Diceros bicornis minor: one gene and its partner. The protein of the gene in region 2 interacts with the protein of the main gene of each other region in a pairwise test. Links are inferred from orthologs where the notes say so. Each region holds a gene or a part of one and is shown on either strand. Other genes may lie near its edges.

The links.
Region 1: the proteins of CKS1B (region 2) and SEPTIN3 interact in binary tests that used the Homo sapiens proteins (3 or more experiments, as listed by UniProt). The two-hybrid records come from large-scale screens. The link is inferred for Diceros bicornis minor from reciprocal best matches to the Homo sapiens genes CKS1B and SEPTIN3.

What each region holds. Positions count from the first base shown.
Region 1 is NC_080764.1:8,560,105-8,570,823, reverse strand, and holds the start of SEPTIN3 (neuronal-specific septin-3), read left to right. Parts: upstream 1-5,998; 5' UTR 5,999-6,228; coding exon 6,229-6,238; intron 6,239-10,504; coding exon 10,505-10,696; intron 10,697-10,719. UniProt on the Homo sapiens protein: Filament-forming cytoskeletal GTPase. May play a role in cytokinesis.
Region 2 is NC_080743.1:58,916,392-58,927,416, forward strand, and holds CKS1B (cyclin-dependent kinases regulatory subunit 1), read left to right. Parts: upstream 1-5,785; 5' UTR 5,786-5,846; coding exon 5,847-5,905; intron 5,906-7,950; coding exon 7,951-8,078; intron 8,079-8,718; coding exon 8,719-8,771; 3' UTR 8,772-9,230; downstream 9,231-11,025. Other genes in the region: SHC1 (SHC-transforming protein 1), read right to left, coding at 253-372, 508-571, 1,102-1,172, 1,747-2,241.

The DNA.
Region 1 (10,719 bases), on a different chromosome or scaffold from region 2:
TTTTCTTGTTTTCTGATCAAGGTAGGTGGGTATTTGTGTGGCGGGGAGGGATAGGACCAAGGGATGGATGGGGTGGGGGCTGTAGGCTCAGTGAGGGGATGGGGATTTGGTGACGTTAGGACAAATAGATCTCAGAGGTCCTGTCCTCTGGCCTGCTATCTGTGTGTGGGTGTGCACATCAAGGGTAGATGTTTGTGGTTAAGCGCAGGGTAAACGTGCACGTGCCCAGGTATGTGTGGTTGAGAATAAGGGCAGGAGGTCAGGGCTGCAGGGACATGTCAAGTGGGGAGGTGATGGAGGCTGGCACAGTCTTGGGTACAAGTATGTGGCTGGAGAGGGATGAGGGGCTGGGACGGCACTGTGAGGGATGATGCAGACCCCCTGCTCCAGACCTTAGGGACCTGGCTACAGGGTCATCTCCCCTCTCCCACGAATCCCTCCCGCTAGCCCTGGCCCGGCCCTCGAAGCATCATTTCCCAGCCTGCTATGTTGAAAGCAACAGAAACAACTTTGTTCCAACCAGTAAATTATATGGAGCCCAGGGTGCACACCAGCTGGTCATCTTGGGGCCCTGGAGCCCCTCTCGGGAATGGCTCATCCCCACAGACCACCAGCCAGAGTCCGCAGGCCGCTTCTCTCCTCAGCTCCAGGTGGCTCATTGTATCTACCCCAGTGCTGCGCCGCCTTCTCCAGGACCACCCCGGCCACAGAGTGTTTCAAGAGTGTCCGCACCACTCTCCTTGCTTCACTTCTGTGCCCCTCTGATCCTTCTTTCACACTGCCCCGGAGGACCGTTCCCACTTGCAGATGCAACCAGGTCATCTTCCAGGGCCTGAGCATCGTTGTGGCCTGGCCTGGGCTGCAGTGCACCTGTGGCCTTGTCTCCCCCTCACCCCTGATACAGCCTAGGAGCCCACGGTGGATTTTCAGAAGGATGCCACACTTCCTCACTTTTGGGCCTGCCATGTGAATTACCCCAGCCCCAGGCCCAGCCTCTCTCTCTTTTGACACCAAAGACTGAGTTAATGCTTCCCCTCAATGCTCCCTGCCCCCGGCGTAGTCCTGCCTGCTTCACCACCTGGCCGGGTCCCCAGGGGCAAGGACTGTGGTGTCCATTGGACAAGTCTCCTCCTGCGAACACTTGTTACTCCACTTCCCCAGCCTCCCCTTCTCCAGAGCCCTCTTCAGCTCTGGCCCTGATTCTGGCTCTCCTTCTGGCTCCAGCAGCAGGCCAGCCCAGGGCTCTTTCCTGGTTCTGGGTAGGAGCCCCAAACGCAGACCCTGTTCCCAAGCCAAACTGGTCATCCCTTAGCCTCCTACCTGGATGCCTGAACTCCTATTTTGGCTGCTGTGGGTGGGAACCCAGAGCCTTCTAGCCCCTTCTGGAAGAGACAGAGGCAGACAGGCTTCCAATAACCACCACCCTCCTCCAGGGTCCCTTGAACAAGGCCCCTTCAGACTTGGCAGTGCTTTTTTTTTTTGCACCTCTAGGCATTTGTGTTTTTGATAACTAGTATAAAACTCAAGCCATTGAGGATCCCACAATTTTATATCCTGATATATTGTCTGTTTTCTCATTGTTAAAAATTACATTTAGAAATTAAGCTTTTATATACATATATTTAGCAATTTTTAAAATTATCAAGTGAACCTCAATTTTAAAAACTATTTCATAACTTAGAGGCTTTATAATATTAAAATAATAAATTATGCCCTAATGAACAATTACTGTATAACATTTCATATGATTTAAATATTTTGCCTTTTAAAATAATGACTTATTTTACAAGACCCTGGCAAACACTGACAAGTAAAAATGAATTTGCTACTTAGCAAAGAAGTTGTCATGCTTTTTATTAACTAGGAATCAAAGAAATGCAAACTGAGCACCTCACCCCTGCGTGGGCCCTTCTCTGTTGATTCCTCAGGGGAAGACGAAAGACCTGGATGGACCACGATTTTGAGATGCAGCCTCACAGACCCTCCAGCCCTGGAAACTCCATCTCCCGCAACCACCTACTGGGGCGTCCTGCCCACCCCTCAAAGCTCCCTGGAGGGGTGTCCCCCCTCATCCCTGTCCTCAGGAAGACCATCCGTCTGGATGCCTTCCCCCAAAGCCACATCCCACAGACTTCCAGCCGACCGGGCCTTGGAGCCAGAGCCCGGAGTGTGTCCCCACAGGAGACTGGTAATAGCCTTGGGCCCAGGAAGCTCAGCTCCATCTCCTTAACGCTCCGTCAGAACAGCCAGGCATGGTCCCTGGGCCCCCTACCCTCTCACTGGGAAGAGTTGCCCACCCTGGGCAGGGAGGCTGCCACTCATGGAGGAGGGAGGCTGTCCACTCCAGGCTCACGGTCCGTGACCTTAGTGCCAGGGGGCAGAGTCCACTCTGAAGGCCCAGGGAACCCAGGTCTGGCCAAACCCAGTAGGATGCCCATAGTGGAGAAGCCCCTAGTGAGTTCCTACCTGGCCCTACCATTCCAATCCCGGTTAGCCCAGAATCCTCTAGGCCCTTCAGGGTCAGGCTCGGTGGTTCAGAGGCACCCTGTCCCAACAAGTGCCCATGTGCCTACCAGAGCTTCCCCAGGAAGAGGCAAGCCCCGGTCCAGGGGTATCCCGAGACCCCGGCTGCATCTCCAAAGGGCCACCCCCACCATGGGGCCTGCGACGGCCGTGGATTTGGCTACTCTGGACACAGTGAGGTCAGGCACAGCCAGACATTTAGCTACAATGGCCACCAACAGACCTAGCTTGGCTATCAATTTGGCCACACCAAACACATCCAGACTGGACACAGGCATGGAGTTCCCTGCTCTGGATACCAAACTGGGCACAGCCATCGCCTTGGCTACAGCAGGCACAACCAAGCCGGGCATGGTCACGGACTTGGTAACCCCAGAGCCAGGCAAGCTGGGCAAAGTCATAGCTACAGCAGGCACAGCCAAGCCAGATACAACCACAGGGGGCACAGCTGTGCATTTGGCAGCACCAGACCCAGTCAAGGTGGACACAGCCAGGCCAGACACAGCCATGGCTTTGGCTAGAGCAAATACAGCCAAGTTGGACATAACTACGGATTCTCTTGCTCTGGACACAAGGAAGCTGGGTACAGCCATGAGTTTGGTTGTGCCAGTCACTCCAGACCCAGCCACTGGGGAGACCACACTGGACAGTGTCATTAACCTGACCACATCAGCCACCTACACACTGATGCCAAGCAGAAGCATAGCACCAGCCCTGGACCATGCGACAGCAGATGCTGCCACAGACTGGGCCACAGAGCCCGCCACACTGGACCTGGCCAGAGAAACCAAAGGTAAATGCAAAGAGCTTGGCTGGGGATGCACTGGGCTGCTGTGGGGGGATGGGGGGGTGGGGGTGGCGGTTATGGGCCTGGAGATGGATTATGCTTGGATCAATTGGAAAGGGAGGGGGAACTCAAGGTTCAGAGTCTTCAGAGTCAAATGCACTGGGGGAAAAGGGAACAGGGTTGAGGGACAGAACACGGGATACACCCTGAGCTGGGTCTCAACCTGCCAGCTTGAGGTCAGATTGAGGGAAGCTACCAGAATGAAGGTTTATGGGGTAACTTGTGGAGGAGCAATTATGCTCATTTTTTTTTTTTTTGTGAGGAAGATCAGCCCTGAGCTAACATCCATGCTAATCCTCCTCTTTTTGCTGAGGGAGACCGGCTCTGAGCTAACATCTATTGCCAATTCTCCTACCTTTTTCTCCCCAAAGCCCCAGTAGATAGTTGTATGTCATAGTTGCACATCCTTCTAGGTGCTGTATGTGGGACGCGGCCTCAGCATGGCCGGAAAAGCGGTGTGTCGGTGCGCGCCCAGGATCTGAACCCCGGCCGCCAGTAGCGGAGCGGCGCACTTAACCGCTAAGCCATGGGGCTGGCCCCATGCTCATTCTTTTAGTATCTTCCATGGTTGTTTCTTTGTTCCCCGAAGAGCAGGAACGATCAGGTGATCTATAGGTGAGTCCAGCTTTAAAAGCAAACCATCTCCATTAAAACACAGACCAGCACCTCAGTAAGTGGTGATTTGTCTAAAAGACATCCCTGCAGCACTCCTCTGGATGTCAACAGTGACCTCACCTGAGACCTGCTAAATCACGCACATTCAGTATTTTGGGAAAATAGTTGTTGCGTGTAAAAGGTGCCTGACCTGGAATTCTCTTTCTTGGGCCTCTACCCCCAGCCCTTTAGTCCTGAAAGGTGAGTTGGAGACTGGGAGATGTGAAAATCCTCCATAGAACTATAAATAGGTCAACACAAGGGCTACAAGTTCATTTGGTCTCAGAGAGGCTGTGACATGTCTAAAGTCACACAGCTTGTTGGTGGCAGTAAGCTAATGGGAACCCAGGTCTTGGAATTCTACTTTGGGCAGTCTCATTCCCGACATTTCAAAGGCTCAGAGATTCTGGATCTGGTAGATGCTTGGAAGGCATCCAGTCCAATGCCTTAATTGGGTCTTGGGTTGTCAGACTCCTGTGCATTGCACTCTGCACACTGTCTGGGGGAGCTCCCCCAGGCTCTGGTCTTCACTTCTCCCTCAGCAACCTCAGCTCTCCCTCCATCTTCAGCCCAGACCCCTCTCCTGAAATGCAAATGTGGACAGCTAGCAGCCTGCTGGACCCTCCACCCAGATGTCTCTTGAGCATGTCCAGAGGCAGCCCTTTTCTCTCTGAACTGACTCCTGCCTTCCTGATCTCGCCCTCTCAGCTGCAGGCACCGCCACACCAGATACCTGGGTATCCTCTTCCTCATCTTACTCGCTCCTCATCTCATCCAGTCTATTTGCAAGTCTGTTGATTCACCTCCTCAGTGCTTGGCTGTCTGTTTCCTCCTCGCCATCCCTCTGTCCAGTGTTTCCACAGCCTCCCCCCCCCCGCATTTCCCCCAGTGCTCTCCCTCATCCACACAGCTGCCACAAGGACCCACATATTTGATGGCAGCACTTTCGGCTTCACGGCCGTTGGTGACTCACCATTGTCTTTCCTTAAAGCCCAAGTCCTTAGCCTGGCTTCTAAGGCTTCGGACTTCTCCAAACTCTTAGCTCTATATCCCTGTTTGGAATTTTCCCTGCTTCAGCTGCACCAGGAGCTCTGAGTTGTCCACTCACACCCTGCAGCTCTCACCTCTGGGTCTCCTCACCCCTGCTGCCCCCTCTCCACAGAGTGCCCTTCCCTTCTTCTCTCTCATCTCTGTATTTGCCTTTCCATCTTGTCCCTCACATCCTCCAAGAAATCTGCCCAAATGCCTCTCTTCCCAGGATGCCCACCTCCCTGCACTCACAGTACCCCCTGCCTACCCCACCCCACTGCATTAGGACAGTCCAGCTTGCTGTCTCTCTGGTTAGACCTAGAGCCCTTTGTGGATGAGGATGGTGGTCCTCATCCCTGTCCCCCCAGGGCCTGGCAATATGCTGTCCATTATTGTTGACTAACTGCATGAAAGATTTTTCTGATGGGTAAATTGAGGCTCAGGAAAGTTCCTGACCAAGCTCAAGGTCACAGGGCTCATCATTCCCGGAGCCAGGCCTGGAACCCGGTCCCCTGACTCAGGGCTCTACAGCCGCCCGCGCCGGGACAGGACCGCGCTGAGCCAGCGCCAACATCCCAATCAGCGCGTGACTCGCGCGCGCATCGCCGCCCGCTGCTGCCGGCGGTCCCCTGCGACCCCCGCTCCGCCCCAGCCTAAGGGGTAAGAGGCTGGGAGCAGGATCCAGCGGGAGGGACCAGGTTGGGATGCGGGCGCTTTCCCCGGCCCGGCATCCCGAGCCTGCAGGCACAGCGCCCCCGCGCGCCTCCCCGGCCGCCCGCAGCCAGGACCGGGGGCCGGCTCCGGCGTGCGGACGGGCAGGGAGCGGGTGCGGGCGCGGGCGCGGGCGGGGGAGGGGCCCTCGGCGGGGCCGGCGGGCGCGCGGGTCACGTGGTGCGGGTGGCAGCAGCGGCGGCGGGGGCGGCGGCGGCATCGGTGCGCGCGGGCAGGGGCAGCGCGGCGCCGAGCGAGCGGAGGCGAGGTCCCGAGCGGGCGCGGCGGCGCGGGGCGCAGGGGCGGCGCGGCCGGGCGGCGGGCGGGGCGGGTGAGCGGAGAGCGCCAAGGGGCGAGGCCCGGCTGCAGGGGCCGCTCGGCCCAGGAGGAGTCCGCGCCCCGCGCAGCCTTGAAGCCTCGCTCCCTGAGCATCTTCCCGGAGGAACGGAGACAAAGAAGGATTCATGTCCAAAGGTAGGGCGGCCGGCTCGGCCACCGGCGACCGCCGGGAGGAGGCTGCGGCCCGGAAAAGCCCGGCTGGAGGTGCTACCAGGGGGAGGGTTGCTGCGCCAAGGAGCCCACGCGCGGTGACATAGGCACGGACACACGCACACACGGTGGCACACATTCCAGGATATACATGCCCGCAGAAATGCACACACGGGCAAATGGGGAGATACAGAGACCTACGGACACGCAAGCATGGACCCAGATGCGCGCAGAAAGACCCATGCTGGAGCACACCAAGACACGCACACACATGCACACCACGCACAGGTATCAGGGCCTACCGCCAGACGAGGGACCTGTGCTCTGACACAGACCCCTTCCCCCACACAGACAGGCGCACACTGAGACAGGCACCAGCTGGTGGTCTCCAAGGGAACTCCTTGGCCTCCGGAGGACTGGGATGGGGGAAGGAGGTGTCCCAGGGCCCTTTGCTCCTGCGAATGGGAAAGGAATAAGATATCTTTTGTGATTCTTTTTCTGAGAGCCAGAGCTGGAGCTGGGGTGGACTGGAATTGCCTTTGCTTGTGGGGGCGGGGTCTTGAAGGCTGCTAGGGGCTGGGGGCTGGGGAGGATCTCCGGCTTAGGAAGGAAGAACCTCCCCACCGTCCCACCCCCACTAAGCCACGGAGGCAGGTGCTATTCTGGAAAGGTTCCTCCCCCTGCTGCCACCTTCCCAACTGAGGGGTGGGGTTCCTGGGCTAGACAAAGACAAAGCCATTCATTTACTTATGAAACATAGCACCGGGGGCCTTGCTTGGCATGGGGATGGAGGGGTGCTATTTCTGTGGGGGACTCAGCCAGAGCTGAGTCAGGGGGACAGTGCCTCTCCCTGGAGCACTGATGGGGCAGGTGGCTCCTGGCAGGGGATGCTGCAAACAGATCACCTCCTCTCCAGGGGCTCTGGGAGAGCTGGAAGCATCTATCCAGGATGGCATACTTGAGCTACATCCTGCTGTGATCCCATCCTGAGCTCTTCCCCACTTGGGGAGCACCCCTCCAATCCCTGTTGCAGGGGAGGGAGAAGGTCTCTCTTAACAGAGTCTACCGCCTTAGCTGTGTCCTACACGAGAGCAGTTTGCTGGCTGGGGGTCAGCTGCTCTGCAAAGGGCTCAGCATCTGAGGGAGGAGAAAGATGATGGGTCTAAAATGACATCTGCCTCCCTATGAGGCATTCATTCATTCATTCATTCATTGCTGAGTGCCTCTGTTACGCTAGGTACATTGGGGCACAGAGATCAATGAGACGTGGCCTCTGCCCTGAAGAAGGCTGGGAACTAGCATATGTTCAATGCCAGGTAATTTATGTCCGTGCTTTTGTATCACCTTCACAGCAATCCAGCAAGGTAGGTACTATCCACATTGTCCTGAGGAGAAAACTGAGGCTTATAGGGGTCACCTAGCCAGCAGTCAAGCCTGGGTCAGCTGCCCATTTGAGGATGGCATGGTGGGAGCAGAGGAGCTGTGGGGGCAGAGGATGGAGCCACACAATCAACTCCAGAGCAGCATTTGTCCTGGGCCCTGGATGTCTTTGTGTACTTGTCAGTGGGACCTTGGGGGCAAGGACCTTGTCTAGGGTCCACAAGTGTCCTTGGCATTTAGTCTGGGGTTTGGCTGGATTAGGCTCCCATTTGACAGCATATGAAATGGCCTGGATGGGATGGAATGAATGAATGAATGAATGGATGAATGAATTTATTGAGTACCAAGGTACTCAGGGGGCCAAGGCAGCACAGAAGAGGGGCGTCCACATCAGACATGAAAGCAGAGGCTTTCCTGAGGGGTGGTACTTGGGCTGAGTGGTGAAGAGTAGGAGTTAGTCAGGGGCTGGAGTGGGCAAAGGGTCTTCCAGCAAAGGCTGGGACATAGTGACCCGCCGCATGTTTGCAGGACTTGTGGCTGATGAGTGGTGGCTGTTAGCATGTGACTGGCATGTAATTGGCATATGGTTGGGAGGGGCGACTTGCCAGCAGATGCTTTATACTGTGTGCACATGGATGCCAGTAGGTGCCTGCTGGAAGAATGAAGGTAAGATGGCTCATGTCCTGGACCTGCAGCAGGCCTGCTGGGGCCCCTAGAAGTTGCCTGGGAATCTGGTGGGCAGGCCCCTTCTCGCAACCAGGGTCTGTCTTTTGGGAATGATCTTTTAGAATGCTGCAGTTGACGGGCCAGGGAGGACACACGCTTTATAAGAATACTTACAAAAACTCCCTTAATTAAGTACAAGATTCACTTTCCAGGGCTATAAAATGGGGTAAGACCCCCCCCCCCCCCCCACAAACACACACTTAGATGGATCTATCTCACAACACAGGTTGTGGAGACCAAATGGGCTTGGCTGTAGAGGCACGGGGGGACATGGAAAGGGCCAGCCGTGTCAGCAGCTGTGCAGGGAATATGGGGCATTGCTGGCCCCCATTGCAGGTGTGCTGAGTGGGGCCCAGGAGCCACGTGCGGAGAGTGGAGGAGCAGGCTGGGCTGCTGAGAGTCAGCTGCTGCGGGGCTGAGCCAATCTTGCTGCCGTCTGGCAACAGCTTCCTGGGAAGCAGGAGGGAGCCACGCCAGGCCCTGGGGAGATCCCGAGGCTTTGTCAGATTTGGCTGTGCCTGGGAGTGACAAGGACAGAACAGTTTCCCATTGGGGGAGAGAGTCTTGCCAGGACTGGTGGAAAGACCAGGTGGCAGGGGTATAAGAACAGACTTCTGGCTGGGTTTGGGGGTGGGGGAGGGAGGTACTCCTGTCCCCTCTCCCTCTTGCCCATCTGCTGCTCCATCAATCCTCCCTGTAAGCTCGAGACTCTGCAGGGCCGTAACCATGAACCATAGGATTTTAGAATGGCAGCACTGGAAGGGGTCCTCAAGAGATCGTGAGTCCAATAACTACGCTGTGTAATTAGCATCCGGGGCACCTCCCTCTAACAAGTGTTTTCACATGCTTTGCTTCACTTCCCCTCCTGACAAGCCCGTAAACGTGAAAGGGGGAGAGGCAAGAGGGTCTGGAAGTGTGAGGCGCTGTGCTGGGTGCTTCCAGGCATCGTACCTCATGTAATGCTCACCACAGCCTTCATCATCATCCTAACCATTTTACAGATGAGGAAGCAGGCTCAGAGCGGGGAGGTGGTTCGTCCAAGTCCACAAAGCTGGCAAGTAGTGGAGGCAGGCTCTTTCCACTTTCGACACACACTCATTTTGTGGGTGGGGAAATGGATGCTCTATCCTGAAACTCACCCTGGTGGACAGTGTCCTGATGAGGAATCGCACAGATTTCTCTTGTGTGTGAACATACCCATGATCTGCTAGACCCAGGGGGGGCCTTTCCCTCAGCCTCCCCTTTGTTCTGCCACCCACCATCCAAGATACACTATGTCATCTTAGGCAAGTGACTGCCCCTATATGGGGCTTATCCTCTCTCTCCTGGTCAAAAGGTGAGACTTATTCCTCCCATAGATTTAAAACTATGGCTAGGAGGGTGTCTGGGGTTCCTCAGGGCCCAGACACCCCTAGTTTGCCTCAGTGCTCATGGAACAGAGGGGACACTGAGGCTGGGAGACAGGAGTGGTGCTCACTCTGCAGAGAGTGGGTAGCCCTATTTGCTTCTGAAAGACAAAGCAACTGAAGTCAGTGGCAGACAGTCCATAGATGTTAGGTCCAGTATCCTAAAAGGTCTTTGCCCTTTATTTGGGGAGGCAGGACTCAGGTGAGAATAACCCCAGACATCTCTTAGACCAGTAGTTCTCTACTGGGGCAGTGTTGCCCTTAGGTGACATTTGGCACTGTCTGGAGATATTTTTGTTTGTCACAACTGGGGGGCTACTACTGGCATCTACTGGAGGCCAGGGATGCCAGTAAACATCCTGTGGTGCACAGGAGAGCCCCCCACAATAATTATCTAGCCCAAAATGTCAATAGCGCCAAGGTGGAGAAACCCCTGGATCAGACATACAGATGTGGTGCTTTGTAGCAATGAGGTACATTTGAATTTCCCCAGCAACTGGAGAATCTGGGTACTGGTCCAGATTTTGCATCTGACTTGCTGTGTTCTTAAGCAGGTCCTAAGAACCCTTTCCTCTCTAAGCCTCAGTCTTTTCATCTATGAAATGAGGGACCTGTACTGGATGACATCTAAGGTCCCTTCTGGTCCAACTCTGTATGATTCTGATCAAGAGAATAATACTGTGGCTTCCATGTGACCTCTGCTTTCCTCTAACCCACTCCTCCTATCTTGGCTTTACAGGGCTCCCAGAGACCAGGACGGACGCAGCCATGTCAGAGCTGGTGCCTGAGCCCAGGCCTAAGCCGGCAGTGCCCATGAAGCCTGTCAGCATCAACTCCAACCTGCTGGGCTACATTGGCATCGACACCATCATCGAGCAGATGCGCAAGAAGACCATGAAGACTGGTTTCGACTTCAACATCATGGTCGTTGGTATGAAAGGCTGGGGGCGGGGG
Region 2 (11,025 bases):
GGGGTACAAAAGGAAAGGAATGACACGTGTCAGGCAGCCTCAGGGACCATCTGGGTGCCCCCCATCCCTGGCCCAGAGCCCTGGAGGCACAATCTCATTCTTTTGGCTTCTTACCCCATGTCCTCCTAATTTCCTTCTTCCCTACTGTCCTGCTGCACCCAAGCCCTCTCTCCCCATTTCTTGTCCTCATAGCCAGGTCCCTGCTTAGCCCTCCCATCAGTATTTCTGGTCCCCCTGCCCAACCCCACCAACCTGTTTGCAGTCTGCGGCCATGAGGTTGAGGCTGCTGGTGGAGACGGTGAGAGTGATTGGCATTCCAGCAAATTTCAGGTTACTCCTCCCCAGGATGGAGCTGAGCGGGCGGCTACAGGGCTAGGGAAGGGCCCAAGGGTCTTAGAAGCTGGGGGTTCCCAACACCAAGAGACCACCACAATCCTGCCCCCCACCTGCTTTCCCCTGCTCCTCCACATCTCCCAGCAGCACCGCTAGCCCATCGACCCCAGGTACCTTTCTCCTCCTTGTGGCCCCCTTAGCACCCGGCACAGCCTCACACACCAGACTGATGGCCTCCCTGGGGAAAGAGGGGTACTCAGACCCAGGCTTGCCTCCACTTGGCTGGGGCTGCCCCAGGGCTGGGGGAGGGGAAGACCAGGCCAGACTCCCAGGGCACTCCAGGCTCTCTGTCGTGGTGGATTGAATTAAGGGCCTTTAATATTTGATGACACTGAGAGGCCGCTTCCTGGCTGATTGGGTTAGGGCCTCAATGGGTATGGCCCCACCCCTTTCCAGCTACCAAATGTCCCATTCCCTTCCCAAAGGCAGCAGCAACCTTCCATCTACCCCCATTTTCTACTCAAGCTCCAGCTGCCAGCTGCCTCTGCCACCTCCCCCACAGCTCCCCAGGCTGGATAAGTAAGGAGGATCCAGGCCAGAGTTGCCTCTTTTCATTCAGACTTAGACTTACTCCCCTAACTTTCTCTCACTCCCCTTTACCACCCTAAGATAAGCCATCACTAGCACCACCACCAAGTGACCCACTTCCCACCTCCCCGCACTAATCCCAGGACTTCCATAATCCGCCCCCCCCCGCCCCCCACTAACCTGGTGACCTGAGTCCGGGTGTTGAAGTCTAGGGCACGCATTGACTGCAGGACCTCCACACAGCCCATGTACTGAGGGGACGGATGGGAGGATAACAAGTCAGCCGCCTCCCCCCAACCCCTTCAAAGGGCCCTAGGACTTTCCCCTACGTTGTCCCTAAGGGAAGTAAAGATGAAGTTCTGCCCACTGCCCGTGGCTACATCCCACAACATGCAAGACAACAGGGAATGAGGGGAAAAGGAAAGGGCAGGCTAGGAGGACCTCATGCATCTGGGAAGAGAATTTGGAGGGGAGTGACAGGCATTAGGTGGGATGGAGTGACATCTCCAGAAAGGGGGAGGAGACTGGAGGGGACAATCAAGAGTCACTCATTCCAACACTTACTAAGGCCTTCAATGTGCTGGGCATTGTGCTAAGCATGGCAGGGCGGGGGTGGGAGAGTCACAAGAAGGAAGGGGGCCCAGGCAGAGCTGGAAAGGAAGGGACTACAGAATTGGAGGAGGGGCAAGAAAGGTTTAACAAACAGGACACTGAAACCAAGGGAGTTGTTGGGGGAGAGCAGGAAAAAAAGACTCCAGCTTTGCTGAAGTGAGCAGAGGAACTGCAGGGGTCTGGGAGGGAGTAGGAGGGAAGATGTTCACTCACCCGAACCAAGTAGGAAACCCCCGGTCCCATGACTTTGTCGTTGGGATGCAGCCAGCCCCGCGTGGGCTTATTGACAAAGCTCCCGTGGCGGGTCCACTCCTCGCCCCCCAGCTGGCCCCCTTCCACCCGAGTCCTGCGCCCGCCGCCTCCACTCAGCTTGTTCATGTCCTGGAGGAGGGGCAGGGGGCCTGAGTCCGGCATGGCTGCCCCTAAGATCCCCTCCCCATCCTCGGCTGCCCTTCCTGGCTCCCCCTTGGGCCCCGGGCGCCCCCCAGCCGGATTGGCCAGCTTCAAGTTGCTCATCCGGGGGAAGAAGGAGCACAGGGTAGTGGGACTATCGTCTCCAGGCAGAGGTGGCAGGATGGGCCCCAGGGATGAGGCTGATGGGGAAGGCAGCTCCTCCGGTGGGGTGGACCCTGAAGCCCCCTCCTCCAGCGATGACAGAGACTCATTCCGAAGTGGGTTGTACTTGGGCTTGGGGGGCAGGAGATCCATGGCTGGAGTGAGAGGGAGGCTGCTGCCCAGCCCGGCCCCCCTGCCAGTCAGGGCAAGGGGGCCAGGCAGGGGGCATCCCCAGGCCTTTAGCCTGATCGGACCTCTATGGCCCAGAGATCTCAGGGGTCCTGGGAAGGGAGAGGGACGAGTGGCTCTGGCTCCCCCGCTCAGACCCAGACAGTTTCAGGCCCCATCTATGCCCAGCGTGGAGCCTCTTCTCTGGCTGAGAGGAGAGAGACCAGGCTGGACCTAGAGCTGCCTGGCTCCTCCCCAGGGGCGGGGAGCTAAGGGGAGAGACCAATCCCGAGGACAGTGCTGACTCACAGGCTCCGAGGGGCTGAGCCCCCACCAGTGCCCCAACCTAGAACCCTTGCAGGGGTAGAACTCTCCATGCCCCCCTGCCCCATACAAACAATTAGTAATCTGGGGAGGAGTAAAGTGGGAGTGGGTGTGGGAGGGAAGGACGGAGGAGTGAAAGGAAAGGAGGGAGATAAGAGGAGGTCTAGATCAATCCAAACCGGACATGGGCAGGCCAAAGGGAGCAGGAAGCTGAGGGAGGGTAGAGGGGAATGAGGGAGGAAACAGAGACAGCTGGGGGTGGAAAAGGGAGGGGATCCCTGAGCTCAGCATTTCCCTTCCTATCCTGGTTGAACACTCAAATTCCCCCATCCTCCAGCCCAGGCCACCCCCCACCACTACCACACAGTGGGGTGGTGGCCCCAGGGAGCCTGGGCCATTAGCATCCTCTGTTACAACAGCTGTGGACTGGAGCTAAAGAAACGGGAAAGGAAGGAAGTGGTCCCAGCGGATGCAGAGGGGCCAAGAGGAAGGGCAAAGCTGGTGAAGTAAGGAAAATAACATCCAACCTGGGCGGTGCATCAGGGAGCCACCAGGCAGGAGCTGGAGCAGAGGACAGGCTGAGGGAGCCTTGTTCTCTATGCATGGCACCTACCATGCCAAGGAGCAGCGGCCCACGGCCAAGCACTCTTCTGTCCCTCCTTTCCACAAGCCTCATTAGCAAAGCAAGCTGTCAAGGGTAGAAGGGAGGTGGGGGGGTGGGCAGGGCACTGACACTAAGCTCAGCTCCCTGGACTTGCCAGGTATGCTCACACTCCTCCTGTAGTGTGACTGGGGAGGGTGCAGGTGTCCACCATAGAGCACAGTGCCCCTCACATCAGGGGCAGGATCTGGCCAGAGGAGGTGGGAAAGTGAAACAGTTCTCCAAGAGAAGTGGGTGCTACAGGCCATGAAGGGATAGAGGGGACAGAAGACAAATCTATGCTAAGTACGGGAGAAAAGGGTGACAGGAGAAGATGGGCTGATGCTGGACACAGGGAACAGTCCCAAACTCATTCCTTCCACCCACACTTCCTGCCACAGCTCTGCTTCAAGGGGCCATGGAGGAAGTTGGAAAGTAACCAAAAAATAAATAGTAAAAAATACATTTACCTCCCAGGCTCACCTCGGAATTACTCTACTCTTAGATTTACTTCAGAAGATAAAAATTCACAAATAATCATAAGATTATAGTGATTGCCACTACTAGCACTTAAAACGTGTTAGACACTGTGCTAAACTCTTTCAGCTCCCCTTGGTCCTCATCCAAGGAGAGTTTTGTCACTCCATCTACCACTCCTGAGAAGGAATTCTATCACTGCTTTTCCTAAGGCCTCTGCGCTCAGGGACAGAGAGAATGAAGAAAGGATTCTGCCATAGGCTCACACCCTCAACTCACACACACCAGGATGTCCTCATCTTTAGAGATTGGCGTTCTGTGGGAGCCTGCAGGATCTAGAGGCAGGGAATGGCCAACAGGTGTGGGTATTTGGAAGAAAAGAAAGAGGAAGTAGGGCTCCTAACATTTGCATAGGAAAAAAGGAGATTGCCTACTGGGAGTCCCAGTGATTGGGTGAGGGGCAGAAGCTGCGTGTGGCTTCTCAGCCCAGCAGGGAGGAGGAGGCAAGAGCAGTGGGAAGTAGCAGGAAATGGCGAAAGCCTCAGGAATGTTTCCAGAAGGGAAGGCTGGGTAAGCGGGACCAGGAGGAATGCCCAGACAATAACTCTGGTTAGGAGAAGGGGAAGAGCCAGAGAAGTGGTGGGGGCTGAGGAGTCCCTTAAAAGAATCAAACAGCAAAAAAGGACACTGTCCCCTACACCCACTCCAAGCTACCGTTTTCTGGTGGTAGAAAACTTTCGCTCCCGTCACACACCAGCAAATCCATGGCCCCACCCAGCTCCCGAGGTACAGGTATGAGACACAGCTGTTTCTGGGGTGGAGTCAGTCCTGGGAAGGGAAACTCAGAGTGGGGCTGGGAATCTATGAGCAAGTCTCTCTCCCACTCTCTTGCCAAACCCCAAGTCCAGCCCCCTTCAAGTAGGTCCAGCCTTGGAAGGGGGTAAGGGAGAGGAAAACGGCTGCCTCTAATCTCGCACTCCTCAGAGCCAGCGTTGGGAACTTTGACTTCCCACGCGGTGGAGCATGAGAGCTCAGGAAACTGAGCCCAATGCCCAAAAGAGAAACAGGTGGAGCTTCTGGGATTGAAGACAAAGCTTCTAAGGCGTGACCTGGGTCCCACAGGGATAAAGCTCCTGAGGGGGCGTGGTCCCCTAGCACGCGTGCATCAGACACTTCTAGGAGACGAGGCTTCTGGACAATCAGATGTAGATTGAGGAAGGGGCGGGGCTTCTAGAGGGGCGGCGCCCATAGGGAGGCGTGGCTTCACGAATTCGAATACAGTAGTTCTGTGAGGGGCAGGGTTTTGCGCTTTTGGGAGATAGGCTTTTTGATAGGAGTTAGCGGAGAATCGTCGCGAGGAGGCGGAGTTTCGGGGAGTTGGAAGGACTAACGTAAGGCTTCTTGTAGTAGGCCTTGGAAGCGTGTCTGGGGGTGGGACTTCCAGGAAAACTGGGTGACAGGGTGGGGTCCGAGACAATAAATATAAAACAAGTGGGGATTCGGGGAGCCCCCTGAAGTTGGGAGGTGGGACTTCCGGAGAGGGGGTCTTGGGGGCGGGACTTATAGATGAAGACCGGAAGTAGGGTCCCCGGAGAGGGGTTCCGGGGTGGAGGAGTGGGTCATCAAAAGAGAAAAAAAAGTCCCAACTCACCAGGGCCTCATGGAGTCTCCGCACCGCACCGCGGGCAGATTTGGTGCCGGATCACGCCACTGCCTCTTTAGGTCGCCGCTCCAACTTTCTCCCCGGGCCTGGCCTCCCTGGAGAAACTTTATTGCACTCACTTCCGGCCTCACTAACCCCTGACCCTCTACCTCACCGTCCCTCCTTCACCCGTCCCACTTTCCCGAATCAGCCAATGGCAGCGCGAGAACGCGCACGGGAGCAGCGACAGCCAATAAGAGGCCTATTTTTGAGCTACGCTCGTTCTTGAGAAACGTAAGAAGTGCACTCCAATAAGGACTCGAGGAGAAGCAAATCCAAGCCAATCGGAGGCTTGAAGGTGGACTTGTCCCGCCTTAAGCCAAAGGGGCCAATAGGAAGCGCGAGCGGCGTGTTTGAAAGCGAGGCCAAGGAGGGTGGGAGCGCGTGCTGCTGGGAGTTGTTTGGAGGTTGGCGGCGCGGAGCTGGCGGTCTTCAGGCAGAGTGATCATGTCGCACAAACAAATTTACTATTCGGACAAATACGACGACGAGGAGTTCGAATACCGGTTAGTGCTGGCGGGGGGCCATAACGAGGTCGTGAGTTTTGACAAATGAGGACCCAAGGAGTTAGTAACAGGGACTGAAGCGACAGAATCGGCGCATGCGCGGAGGTTAACGGGACGGGCGTGATAGTTGAGAGCGTAAGGCGCATGCGCGAAGGGTGGGCGGTGATTGTAAAAGAAACAAAGTGGTAGTGAATTTGGAGTCGACCCTGTTGGGAGGAGGTGTAGGTGGGCGTGGTTAGAGTGTTAGCTTGCTGACCACCTTCACCTTTGCGGGTTTCTGGAACCTTCAACTTTATTGAGCAAGTTGAACTTGCCCTGACTGCTCGTATCACGGCAACACCATAGAACCTTAGAGCCTACTGGGAAAAGGTGGCAAAGGCGGAGCTCGAATTTTCCTCGCGTCTTCAATGCGAGGGGAGTTCTGAGAGAGCCTGAGTGCTGCTCATTAATTCATGGAAAAGGGACGTAGTTGTCTGGCTTGTTTTAGGAAAGGAGCTTGGAGGAATTGGAGTGGAATAAAACTGGCCAGGAACATTGAAAAAAGACTTAACATGAACCTAATACATGCCCTTCAAATATTTGAAGGGCATCTATTTAGGAAACAATTATGGAGTGCTTATAGGTTTCAGGTGTTCTGCTAAAGTGCAAGGGTAAGCCATGGTCTCTGCTTTCAACAAACCTACAAATCTGTGAAATACTGACAGACTTCAGAAAAAAGTGATAATTGGTATGATAGAGATGGGAGCACCTATGGTAGAGATAGGACTTGGCCAAGGATGGTGAAGAAAGGAATCCCTATGGAGTTTGCATTTGATAAATCCTAAATCCATAATTCTAGATTGGAAAATTAGAGAAGACAAAAATTCTAGAAATGTTGTCATTCCACTAACCTGTATTAGGTGTAATACTTTAAACAACTTCCTAGTTTGTATCTTCTCAACTGAAGAACATAGAATGGAAATTGCTTTTCTTGTGTTTCTTCTCCAACATAATGCAGGGAGAACTCGGTGTGTGCTGACAGATACATAACCATCTTTATGCCAGGTCCTTGGGAAAAGACCCCAGGCTCTGCTTGGATCCAGTTAACTGTCTTCCTCAGCTGTTTTCCTCTACATCTGAGCTAAGCTAACTAAAACTGCCTATAACATCTTTGCAGGACTAGGGAGAAGTCACTAGTTTGATCCTCTGGAAGATGTAAGTCTTGGCAGTGGTATTTTGGCTTAAGAAAGTTGTTTTCTGTTTTGTTTTTTTTTTCCCCTTGGTCTAATTAGGTATTGAAGCCAAACTTTGTGCCAGGGGCTTGTTAGAATATAAGCTATTTTCAGACATTTAGACTAGAATTATCTCTTTGGAAAAATGTCTGTTACTAGCACAGAGAGTGCATTTAGTAAATTTTCACTGAGCGTGATGAAGTTGATCTGGGTTAGCCTGATTGAAGTCAGGGTAATAATTTCTTTGCCATGAAAGAAGACTTATCTTGGTTGGGGGAACATGGAGTTTCCCAAAAGACGTCTCATGGCACATCCCTTCAGAGTTAGGAAAATGAGATTCAGGATATATTTTAAAGGATAAGACATTTGTGTTTCATCCTTTGTGATGGCTGTTCCACACAGCACTCCATAATAGGCCTTTCTTGTCCACAAAATCACCTCTCTCCCCTCCTTACCAATCCTGTTCCAAACCACCTTTAATAATTAATAGTGTGTGTGCTGTGGGGCTCCCATTATATTGTTTTAGGGTAATCAACTGGAAGACTGTAAGCCCTGAGAAGGCAGAGGCAGTGTATCAACATGCCTGGAACTCAGGTGCTTGTTCACTTGGGTTATTCATTAGGTTGTACTTGTTAATATACTTTTGTGAGGATTTACATAACTTGGCCTTTACTTCTAGCTGCCTCTACCCCACAATAAGATTATATAAACTCTTTGCCATCAGAAACCGGTTTCTCTTTTCTTTCCCCTCTTGGCTTTGTATGCAGGCCCTTGTCTAACAGACTGTACCCAGTACTGACACAATTTCCCCACCTTCCCATGTTTCTATTACAGGCATGTCATGTTGCCCAAGGACATAGCCAAGCTGGTCCCTAAAACCCATTTGATGTCGGAATCGGAATGGAGGAATCTGGGCGTTCAACAGAGTCAGGGATGGGTTCATTATATGATCCATGAACCAGGTCAGTGCAAAGGCTGAAAGCAAACATGTAGGACTGCTTCACTGAGAGAATGAAGGGATGATAAGATCGCATAACCCAAAGGAATAGTGGGAAGGGGAGGGTGGTTTCCTGGTTCCTTACCCCATCAGCCAGCTAGAAAAACTGGAGTGACCAAAAATAAGAATAAGAGTGAAGTATCTGCAAAGTTCAGAGACAACCTGTCACTGAAAAACCTCCTTTAATCTCTAATTCAGTTAGAGGGTACTCTTTTTTTTTTTTTTTTTTTTTTAAGGCCACATATACCCTGGTAGAGGTTATGGCTCCTGCTTCATTCTCCATCAGAAAGCAAATTCTTGGATGTGTTCCAAAATAAGCCAAGGAAAGTATATTTATTGATAAGACACCAGACACTAAGCTGCCAGGCAAAACTAATAAAGGACACCCCGGGGCTGGACAAACATAGCAAAAGAGCTGATATTAACAATTCTGTACTTGGCAGACAGGCCAGGCTGCTGGGTCTGCTTCTAAGGCCATATGCTTAAATCTTAATTTAGTTAGAAAGATCTGAGTGGGTGATAGCTGGGAGGTGGGAGTGGGATACACTGTAGGTTGTGCATAGAATGATGTGAGCTTGTCTCTGAGATTCCACTCACTCTTTCAGAACCTCACATCTTGCTGTTCCGGCGGCCGCTCCCGAAGAAGCCAAAGAAATGAAGCTGGCGAGCTGCTTTTCAGCCTCAAGCTTTACACAGCTGTCCTCACTTGCTAACATCTTTCTGATAACATTATTATGTTGCCTTCTTGTTTCTCACTTTGATATTTCAAGGATGTTCAATACACTGTTTGAATGTGCTGGTGACTGCTTTGCTTCTTGAGCAGAGCCAACAGTACCACGGCCCAGCCAGATGAATGCTTTTTGGGCTACAGCCTCAGCTGAGTGTGACCCCAGAAGCCATGTGAGCTCTGTATCCAGCAGAACACACTTGGTTGATGGAGGAAGCATCTGAGAATAAGACCATGGCTGTTACAGGGATTGTGTAAACTTGCTGTTTTGTTTTTTTTTCTGCCAGGTGTTCTATGTATGGTGATTTGTTTCAATGTATTGGAAACTTTCCATTTTATTCAAGAATTCTGTTCCATTTAAAGCCTTGATTAAAGAGGAAGTTTTTATAATCCTAATTGTAAAGGTTTTTCCCCCGTCTCAGGGTGAGCATCACATTCAATATCATGATTCTAATTATCTGCCCTCTTCAGTTAGATAATGAAGCTCAGCTCTTGCTGATATGAGGTTTATTTCAACATTCTACTAACTGGTTTTTAATCTACTTTAAGCAGACTTGCTGTCAAATTGCTACTGAAATATATTACACTCTAACTACCGGCCTAAGATAGAGGTTATATAGGGACAACATCATCTCATCAAAACAAATGAACGGTTTCCTACAGTCAGGGATGCTGCCTTTAACATAGTCCCGACATTTGAAGGGCATACGAATGTAAGGGGAAGAGGCTGTACCCTCTAATTTTAAAAATAACAGTAGTACTAAGTAAGGGAGATTAATCTCCCCCCTTCTCCGTCTTCCATCCATTGTATTCCTAGAGCAGTAGTAAAGTGTGGTCCCTGAACTGGAAGCATCAACATCACCTGGAAACTCATTAGAAATGCATATTCTTGGGCTCCACCCTTGACTTAACTGAATCAGAAATGCTGAGGGTTGGGCTCAGCGACATTTTAACAAGCTCTCCAGGCGCTTCTGGTGCACACTCAAGCTTGAGAACCACTGGTAAAGGATTGGACCAGAGCTGATGTTGGGGGGGGGGGTCAAATATCACCATTACTACTAATAAAGATAATGGAGCATATGACTTATGTCATTAGGCAAATGAGACTTTTTTTAGACCTGAGCTTCTTTTAATTGAAAAAAAACAAGGCTTATTGAGAAAGAATGGTCTAGAAGCCTGGCTCTAGCATTCACTTTAGTGTTTTGTGGCAGTTGTCTGGCATCCCTTCACCTTTCTAAGCCTGCTGCCAATCTGTAAAATGGGCATCATTTCAGAGGATACTGAGAAGAGTGAAATGAGGCCAGTTGTGGTTCAGCAGTCCTCCAAATGATGAATGAATTGTAGACCTTTACCACAGAAAACAGTCTCAGACCAGAAGCATCAACGTGACATGAGAGCTGGTTAAATGCAGATCTCTGACCCCACCCAAACCTGAATCCGGGAGATTTAATCAGCATATTTAAAAAGTTCCCAGATGAGGGCCGGCCCCATGGCTTAGCAGTTAAGTGTGTGCGCTCCGCTGCTGGCGGCCGGGGTTTGGATCCCGGTCGCGCACCGACACACCACTTCTCCCGCCATGCTGAGGCTGCGTCCCACATACAGCAACTAGAAGGATGTGCAGCTATGACATACAACTATCTACTGGGGCGTTGGGGGAAATAAATAAATAAAATTAAAAAAAAAAAAAGTTCCCAGATGATTAGTATGAACATTAAGGTTCAAGAAGCATTTTTAGACCAAAGGCAACTGAGAGTAAGCTAGGATGATGTGAGAATCCCAGGTGGACACCTGGCACTCCCTAGTCTCTGCCCTCACTTGTACCTATATGACCAATAATTGAGAAAGGTGATGTTTAAGTATCATCTGGAGCAAGGTGGGGGAAGACTTTTTCTTGTCAAAGAGGGTTAAGTAATTAGCTTTATCGTTTATAATAAAGAAATGAAAGTTCCACACACTAAAAGCTCACCTCCAGGATCTTCCTATCTCACAGGCAATGCTGACAATTATTCTTGGTGTCCTTCCAACTTCCATCTGTTACAATATAAAATCCTTTCTGACACCAGTACCAGCCCCGACCACTTGGCCTAGAATTAGAGTCATGGTTAATGAAAACAGACAGCATATGCATGCCAAGAATTTGAATACAGGACGGAGGTTACAGTCAAGTCTCCCCTTTACTTCCAGC